Linked DNA regions of Oryzias latipes. The protein of the gene in region 2 purifies or fractionates together with the protein of the main gene of each other region. This does not show direct contact. Links are inferred from orthologs where the notes say so. Each region holds a gene or a part of one and is shown on either strand. Other genes may lie near its edges.

Evidence for each region. The genes of interacting proteins can lie anywhere in the genome.
Region 1: the proteins of l3mbtl3 (region 2) and samd13 purify together in Homo sapiens (affinity purification with mass spectrometry; 3 studies listed by BioGRID and IntAct, counting the BioPlex papers as one, with this or other methods). This does not show direct contact. The link is inferred for Oryzias latipes from reciprocal best matches to the Homo sapiens genes L3MBTL3 and SAMD13.

The regions. Positions count from the first base shown.
Region 1 is NC_019862.2:9,304,466-9,308,324, forward strand, and holds samd13 (sterile alpha motif domain-containing protein 13), read right to left. Parts: upstream 2,707-3,859; 5' UTR 2,501-2,706; intron 2,482-2,500; exon of another isoform or gene 2,388-2,481; intron 2,135-2,387; 5' UTR 2,053-2,134; coding exon 2,025-2,052; intron 1,761-2,024; coding exon 1,718-1,760; intron 1,632-1,717; coding exon 1,520-1,631; intron 1,419-1,519; coding exon 1,275-1,418; 3' UTR 508-1,274; downstream 1-507. Other genes in the region: uricase, read left to right, coding at 98-181, 262-333.
Region 2 is NC_019874.2:17,836,544-17,840,744, forward strand, and holds the start of l3mbtl3 (lethal(3)malignant brain tumor-like protein 3), read left to right. Parts: upstream 1-1,389; 5' UTR 1,390-2,041; intron 2,042-3,445; 5' UTR 3,446-3,469; coding exon 3,470-3,580; intron 3,581-3,781; coding exon 3,782-3,977; intron 3,978-4,130; coding exon 4,131-4,201. Other genes in the region: transmembrane protein 244, read right to left, coding at 465-550, 858-890. UniProt on the Homo sapiens protein: Is a negative regulator of Notch target genes expression, required for RBPJ-mediated transcriptional repression. It recruits KDM1A to Notch-responsive elements and promotes KDM1A-mediated H3K4me demethylation.

The DNA of each region.
Region 1 (3,859 bases), on a different chromosome or scaffold from region 2:
CTACAGTAACAAAATACAATTATAAGGAAATATTAGCATTTATATTTTGTTTTATTCTGTGATTGTAAAAATAGGACAAGATTTTTTTTCCTTCCAGGTGGAAGAAATAGAGATCGTGATGCCCAACCAGCATTATTTCACCATAGACATGACAAAAATGGGTCTCGTCAACAAAGACGAGGCAAGTCCTTCTGTGACTTTAAATGTTGGCCATAACAGAATGTATTTTTGCGGCTAAAGTGCCATTTTTCTCCTCATTAGGTGTATCTTCCTCTGGATAACCCCTCTGGGAACATCACAGGGACCGTATGCAGGAAACGAGCACGACTTTGAAAGCAGTTGAAGCAACCACCGAAACAAAAAAGTCCTTCTGAAACCATGTGGACAACAAACTTACTGTCAGCTCTCATGATGAGGATCTAATAGTTTAAGCTGATCTTGAATAAGTTTGATGTAAAATGAAAAAAAAAAAAAAAAAGTGCCCGCCAATAAAGATGTTTGCTGAAGTTGTTCTTTGGTGAGAAAAAAAGCACCATTTATTGCAAATCGTAGATTTGAATATTCAAACTCCAGTGTTATGTTGAACATGTACATAGGTCACACGCACTTTAAAACAGTTGTCTGTGCGACAAAGCTGAGAGCACCACAGGTAGGTACATCAGAGTATTTACACATAAATATCTCAATATCAAAAGCCTCAACCTTAAATTAGTTGCTGTGAATAACAAAGAGACTTTTGGTTGGGTGCTTGAGTCGGAGGAAAAAAACCAAAATGTGTTATAACATGCTCTGGACAACTGACACACACAGCTTCAAAACATAAAAACTGAATTTAAGACAAAATTAGACGCATCTGAATTCATTTTTCTGCCGGGTGAGACAGAACTTAAAGTTTGATATATACCATCTTATATACATAAAGGTCTTCTCATCACACTTTAATTTACTTTGAACACACACAAACACGCATCAATCATATCTGCAGAGTATACACCCTAATCGTCTTTCTTTTTAAATAAACAAACAAAACAAAACAAAAAAAACACACTTGCCAAGCAGCAAAAATAAGAATGGTTGAAAGGATCAACAGCATGTGCAGATCATTTTTAGGATCTACAGATATATATATATAAAAAAAAAAAAAAAAAAAAAGAAAAAGCTTACAGCATTCAAATTCTGTTAAGGCGCCACCGCGAACAGACGAGTCTTGGCAGCTAACCTGGGATCTCCTGGCATGATTGTCACTGAGGTGGGTCGTGGGGTGACCTGCAGTGCTATGAGGCGTTAATCTTCAGGTGCTGGGTTTGCAGCGGCTTCACGTGGTACTCGTAGATCTTCAGAGCGGGGCCCAGCTTTATCGACAGCCCCGTCAAGACGTCGTTACGCGTCATCAGCAGCAGGGATTTGCCGTCTATTTCCTGAGGACAAAACAAAAAACAAAAAATGTATCGACTTTGGGCTCTAATTTATAGGATTTCATTTTCTGATGAGGTTGGGGGGGGAAAAAAAGCCAACAAACCTGATCCTGGAAAGCAACAGCCTGCTCCTCAAACCCTGTTGCTTTGAAATAGTTGACAACATCAGCGACTCCCCAGTTGGACGGGTCTGGCAGCTGACCGTTCTCCACCGGGCTGTGGAGAAAGTTACACAACTCATGAGCCTAAAAGCACACAATGTTTTTATTTTATTTTTTCAAATGTATTCCAATAAGCAGTACTTTTTGCTGTCGACTGAGCCATTTGCCTTGTCTTCCATACCGGCTGCAAGAAAAACAAACATACTGATCATAAATTTGTAGGTTTAATTAATATTGCAAAGCAAAACAGTTTAAAAATAATTCAACTGGATCTCATCCCAGAAATCAAGTTACTAGTGTATAAAGGAGCTAATTGTAGCAGAATCGGAAGTGCCTGTAGGGGTTTCAGCAATACAGCATAAATCTGGAACATAAGTAACTTTCAGCCTCCTAATGTAAAGCTAAAACTCGAATTTTAAAGCAGGAAAAAAAAGCATAATTCACTTACATCCTGTAAAGCTGCAGGAATCTTTCATCAGAACTTCAGGAGAACTTACTGTGTGAACAGTTTGAACACCATCACTGCTGATCTGTTAACAGTGTGGAGTTGAGTGTCCGCTGCAAAAAACAGCCACATAATCCAATTGTTAACTATTAATGAAAAAGACTAAACCAATGCTGGTTGTAATCCTTCGACGACACTTGTCAAGAATGGAAATGTCCCACTTAAATTTACGTTTTAAATACATTTAAAAAGGGGGGAAAACTGTATAATATTGTGGTGATAAATTAAAAACTGCGCCGCCACGTCGTTTAGATGCACAAAAATATCCCGAATATATTTTAAAATACAACAAATCCACACGGTTACCTAACCGATGACAGATAGTTCTCGTTCCATCTTCGTGTTTTGTAATAACCCTAACGTTAGGCTAACAGGGATAGTTAGCATCGACTGCTGCTAATAAAAAATTTAACAGTTACCTTATTTTGGGAGATTCCACCTTGACAACAATTGCTCGTCGGGGCTGCACGAATATTTCAACAAAGAAAAGGTTTGTTTACTTATTCAATTATTAACCAATTAATAAACGGCTGTGTTTATTTGATAAAATCAAATTAAAATCAAGTAAAACCAACTAGCTGATTCGCGTTTGCTTCCTTCGCCCACGTCACTAGAGGATCATGGGAAATGTAGTACATATTCATAGGTTTGTGGTCGAAAATTCAAACTAACGCAATGTACGTTTAAAAATAAAGTTTAAATTAACTTCAAACAGTTGTATGTTTAATAAAAAATTTATTACTGTGACATATCCTTTGTTACATAAAAACTGCTACAGCAAAGAAAAAAATCCCCTTGCAAACACAGGTAAATATGGGTGGGAAAAGGTGTCAGCCATTGAAATGATGTGCAAAAAGTGTCACAAACAAAATACAGAAACAGTTCAGATTATTGATCCCATACTGGCACGTGTGGCTAGCTACAATATCTCATAAATTAAGTTTCCATTTTTATTTAGCACTGTAAAGTGGCTCTGGGAAAAGCTTCATCATTTACACCAAAACACACAGATGGGAAGAAGGAAACAGAAACACATTGCCTGTGGCTCTCATTTACTTCTAGCAGGAAAAAGGCATGATGAGTTGCTCTAAATATAATTTAATTTTTGACATTTGACAAAATTGTTTTTAACAATTAAAAAAAAACTTTTTTGATTATGTTGATTTCCAAGGAAAAGAAGAAATTCCCAAATATGTTAAAGTGGAGGCATTAATTCAAATTTAACATACATTTTTTCCTTGATCAATTGGTAAAAAAAAATAAACCCATTTGTTTAGGCTACTGATTCTAAAAAACAAAAACACAAAAAGCAGCTTACTTATAAATTAAACCCAAAAAGTAATGTTTTATTGCAGAAAATTGATAAAACGAGAAATTATTCTGTATACAAAATTAAACTGGGACTAATCAAACAAAATGTACTTTATTCGACCAAAAATATTTACCAATTGAGATAAAGCATTAATAACCCCAAACTCTATTTCAGTATTGATTATGACTGTTGCAAAAATGATTTAAAAAATACTAAAATAATTAATCTATTCCAGCATAACGTCTTCCGAAAAATTTCAAGATTTTAAACTAAAAATTGCTTTAAAACTTCAAATGTAAAAACTGTGAACTTTTGTCGACAAACAGAAACATGGATTTACGAACTTTGCCAACAATTAAAAAAAAAAAAGAGAGAAAAACCATGGAGATGACACTGTGCCCTTATAGGTATGGAAAATCGGAATACATCCTAGAAACGTGTTGATTTGTCATGCTGAAAAAGAGCT
Region 2 (4,201 bases):
AATGGTCTTTCAATTATGATTATGCCGTTTTTAGCAACAACAAAAAAGTGTGTTGCTTTCTAGGACATAGTTTCTGCAGAGCAGCATTCACCGCTGAGTTCTAGGCAGGACTGTTGGTGCTGAGAAAGCCTGTCCTCGTTTCCCAACATCCATTTGTTTACACTCTGTCCTGCTAGCTTACAGCCCCTCACAACCCCAACTTAACATTGGCAGTGCAACAAAAAAATGTGATCTATTTGTCTGCAATTGGATGCATCAGAACGGAACAGAGCATGGAATTTGTGCCCCCCGACTTAAGCACCTACTTCACTGCTACGTGTTTTTTAAAACTGCATTTTTTCATCTGCTCCTGCTTACAATGATTTGAACAAAGAAATACCCAGAAATGCAGTTTTGAACACCAAAAAACACAATTTCACTTGCTCTCCTCTGTGTAGCAGCAGTGCGCATGCGCGTGTGCTCACCTGAACGCGCCGAAGCACACGCTCCCGATCATATAGAAAAGAGAATAAAATATCAGCAGGCAGAGCAGGAGATTGAGCAGCACGGTCTGCAAGACAACACACGAGATGGTCATTTATTCAGTCTAAGATGTCAAGCATGTAATTTCACGTCCTGGGTGTGAGAAACCTGCCGGTTTGTAATAGAGAACATAGTGTTAAAGCAGACTGACTTCGCTTCACTAACAGCGCCTATAACACAAGTAAACCTGGCGTTATAATAAACACATAACACAACTGTGTCATATAATTTGTTAGTATCTGACATACATTATTGTCACTCGACAGACAGAATCGAAAAACATAATTTTAAGTGTTCCAGCCTCGCAGCACAGCACGGCGATGCCCTCCTCTTACCTTTGAATCGACCGCTTTGCCTTTGAATGCCATCTCATGATTTGCACTTGACGCTATACTGGAAAAATATTGCAGAAATGCAGACTGCAGCAGACGCCGCTAATCCTTCACAAACTGGACTCGGCGCGCCATCTAGCGGCAGAGAGGAGACAAGAGGCGGCGCCGCTACACGCCGCTATTATGGTCGAGCTGAACTCATTTCATTTCGTGTCAGAGCGACCTTTGTTAACAAAACAAGAGCTGTATTTTTGGTGTGCAGATTTATATTCATTTAATATAATGGCGTCTCAAAAATGTAGGTGAAATATTAGTTTGGGTAAAAATGCTGCCTACTAAATGAAAAAGAAGGTAATAGAAACGCCAAAACAATCTGGGTTAGCCGCTCAATATTTAGTACTAACACGGGATAAATAAGTCTTAGTAGTACCAGGACTTTTAAACTGAAAATATACAAACAAAACCGCACCGCGCAAATCGAGCTTTTCAAGTTAAAATCACTAAATCTGCATTCAATGATAGAAATGTTGTGATAGCGGCTTTTAAATCAAACATTCTGTTAATATCCGGGGTTAGTTTGGTGCATTACTTTGTCAGGTTCGGTACTTGTACAAACAGGAGGATGGGATGTTTAAGTCCGTTTTTATAGCCGTAGACTGCGGCCAGAAACGACAGTGTTACTAAAGAGCACCGGTGCACCGTCCCGTGATGCATTTGACTTTTTTCAAGTAGTCCTTTCGCTATTTTTGCGCACATTAGCGCATGTTAGCTCGAATACGACACGGAGACTTGGCTAATCGGAGCGCATTAGCACGGACTGTACTGCCAGAGAGTAACGTGGTTCAAATGGGCACGTAAACTGTTTGAACACAGAGGAACTAGACGCTTCTCGACGGTTAATGGAGCGCTGCGGTCCTGCGCTTTATGATACTCCTAGTTCTTGGTGACTTCATAGACTGTTCGTGTTCGGGGTGGGAAGGGGAAAGAGGAACCCCCCGTATCCTGCTGGGAGTATTATTATACTGGTACCGAACTGGGGTTTGGGCGCGTGCTTTGCGCACGCGTGCCTGCTATTGACCACTAAAAGTAAATTGAACTTTTCCGAGACCCAAAGTTGTCAGGCAGCGCATCTTGCACGCATGCGCATCGTCTATCCAGCTCTAAATAAGAGTTAAAACAGAAACGAGGTGAGTTCCACAATTTTCAAAACATTGCGGGCCTTAAATATTATTTATTGACGCGAACGTGGGCTAAATTTAGGGGGAAAACGGAGTTTAGTTTGATAAATAACATTAGTTTGCGTTATTTCCACTCTGATTCAAAACGGCGAGAATAAATCGTTTCTTTTTTCAAGTTTCTATTGAAGAAATAAATCAAGCAACAATGTTTAAGCTTATAACAGTGGCACGATCTTATTGTTTGAGTGCATTTAATATTTTGTTTGAGATCTGCGTTTCGCAAAGGCGTTTTCCCGGTGTTATTAAGTGGGAAACTTATTTATTACGGATCGTCCTTAGCTGGCTGCTTACAGTCACAATGCTAGGGCTAGCCGTGTAGCAGTTACCCGTTCATCTGAAGGGAGGAGGGGGCTAGCTAACTGTTAGCTGCAGCACTAGCTGCTGTAGCAAGCTGGGTTGACATTCCGTGACAAGGGGAAAGTGAAGAAAAATGAGCAGAGTGAATAAAAACACCATCTTGGGAATTACACGGAAAACGTCTGCATTTATTTGACGCACTACAGCTTTGCGATATTTGTTTAAACCGGTAACTTGAGTAATTAACATAGTTTGAACGTGTTGGTGGCCTCTTCCAATGCTCCGCCATTTTGTATAAGACGAATGCTAATCATCATGGGCGCTCTTAGAGACACTTTTATTTATGGCTGGAATAAAACTGAGGTTTCCGGCTTGAAGCCAAACTTGACCAACAATCCATAAGCTAGGATTGTTGTTCACTTTAACACTGGTTATTGCCGCGGCACAAACCAAAAATATCACCTTAATTCGGTGTTGAACATGCGTCAAGACTAAAACGTTTTTGCAGAATAACAGACTTCTTTAAACGTTTTTAAGTTTGGCTAGTGAGTGCAGAAAACAATGTTCTCTGTGAAATGGATGACTAAATATCCGCCTTACTTGCTCGTCACCCGGGAAACAGTCATCTTTAAGAGATACTGTTAAAACAAGGAAAAGATGAACTTGTGTGTTTAATTTAAAGTTGAGACATTTTTCGCCGGGCTTGTCAATGGTCTTGGTCACGGTTTACCCCAACGAGGTCGTTTGTGCGCGTATTTGCCCCTTAGTTTGCCGGTAAAACTGCATTATTATTGACTGTTTTTGTCTGAAATCGAAGTGCATGGTGTACCCGGCGAGCCGGCTCGCCGTCGCCATCTATTGGTGATGTTGCGTAAGGCTGTTTACAAGTGCAGAGAGGAGCTGCTTTTGGTGATTTCGGCTGTTTTCTCGTGTTAAAAACCCTGTCCAACTTTAACAACACAATAAAATGTTTCATCTTAGTCCTGCTGATCGGTTCTATGCATTTGGGTTCCATTGCACATTTCTTTCTTTTGTCACAGTGGTTTCTTGTTACAGGGTGGTCGTATCAGTGGAGTGGGGATGACTGACACTCCACCCAGTGATGGAGCCTCTCAGGGAGCTGAGTTTGACATGATGGGAGCCCTCGACTGGAAAGATGGGATAGCCACTCTGCCAGGCAGCGACATAAGGGTACAGTTCAGGTTTTTTCTGCATTCTGGTCTTTTTTTTTGTACAAAAATTGTCATCATTTTAACTCATGGTGTTTTATATAGTGAATTATCTTGATAATTTGGCCATTGAAATAATCAAAATACAATGTTATCTAGAAAATGGTCATTATATTCAATCAGCTGTTTTTTCTGTTGCTGTTTTCCCCCCTTGGTGCTTTAGTTCCGCATGACAGAGTTTGGGACTCTTGAGATTGTCACAGATCTGGAGGTCAAAGGGCAGGAGGCCGTGTCTAACAGTGAGACCTTGGACCCTGCGCCATCTCACACTCCCACCCCTCCACCAGAGGCCCAATCACAGACAGGCTCAGCTACAGCTCCAGCCAATCAGAATAAAACAGGATCAACTCAAACTAGAGGTATAAAAGCTTGTGTCAAACATTACTTTTATAAAGAACTACACTTTTCAGTTTGTAGAATACACTTTTTTTCCCTATAGTGATTTCTGGACACTGCATCCCCCTTTTATTTGCTCAGTGTTTCAGCGTTTAGTCATGTGTTTGTGTCTTTAGAGGAGGGTGGCAGCACGGAGGCCCCCAACATGGAGGTTGGTCCCAGTCCAGACGTTGGTTCCAATGCAGAA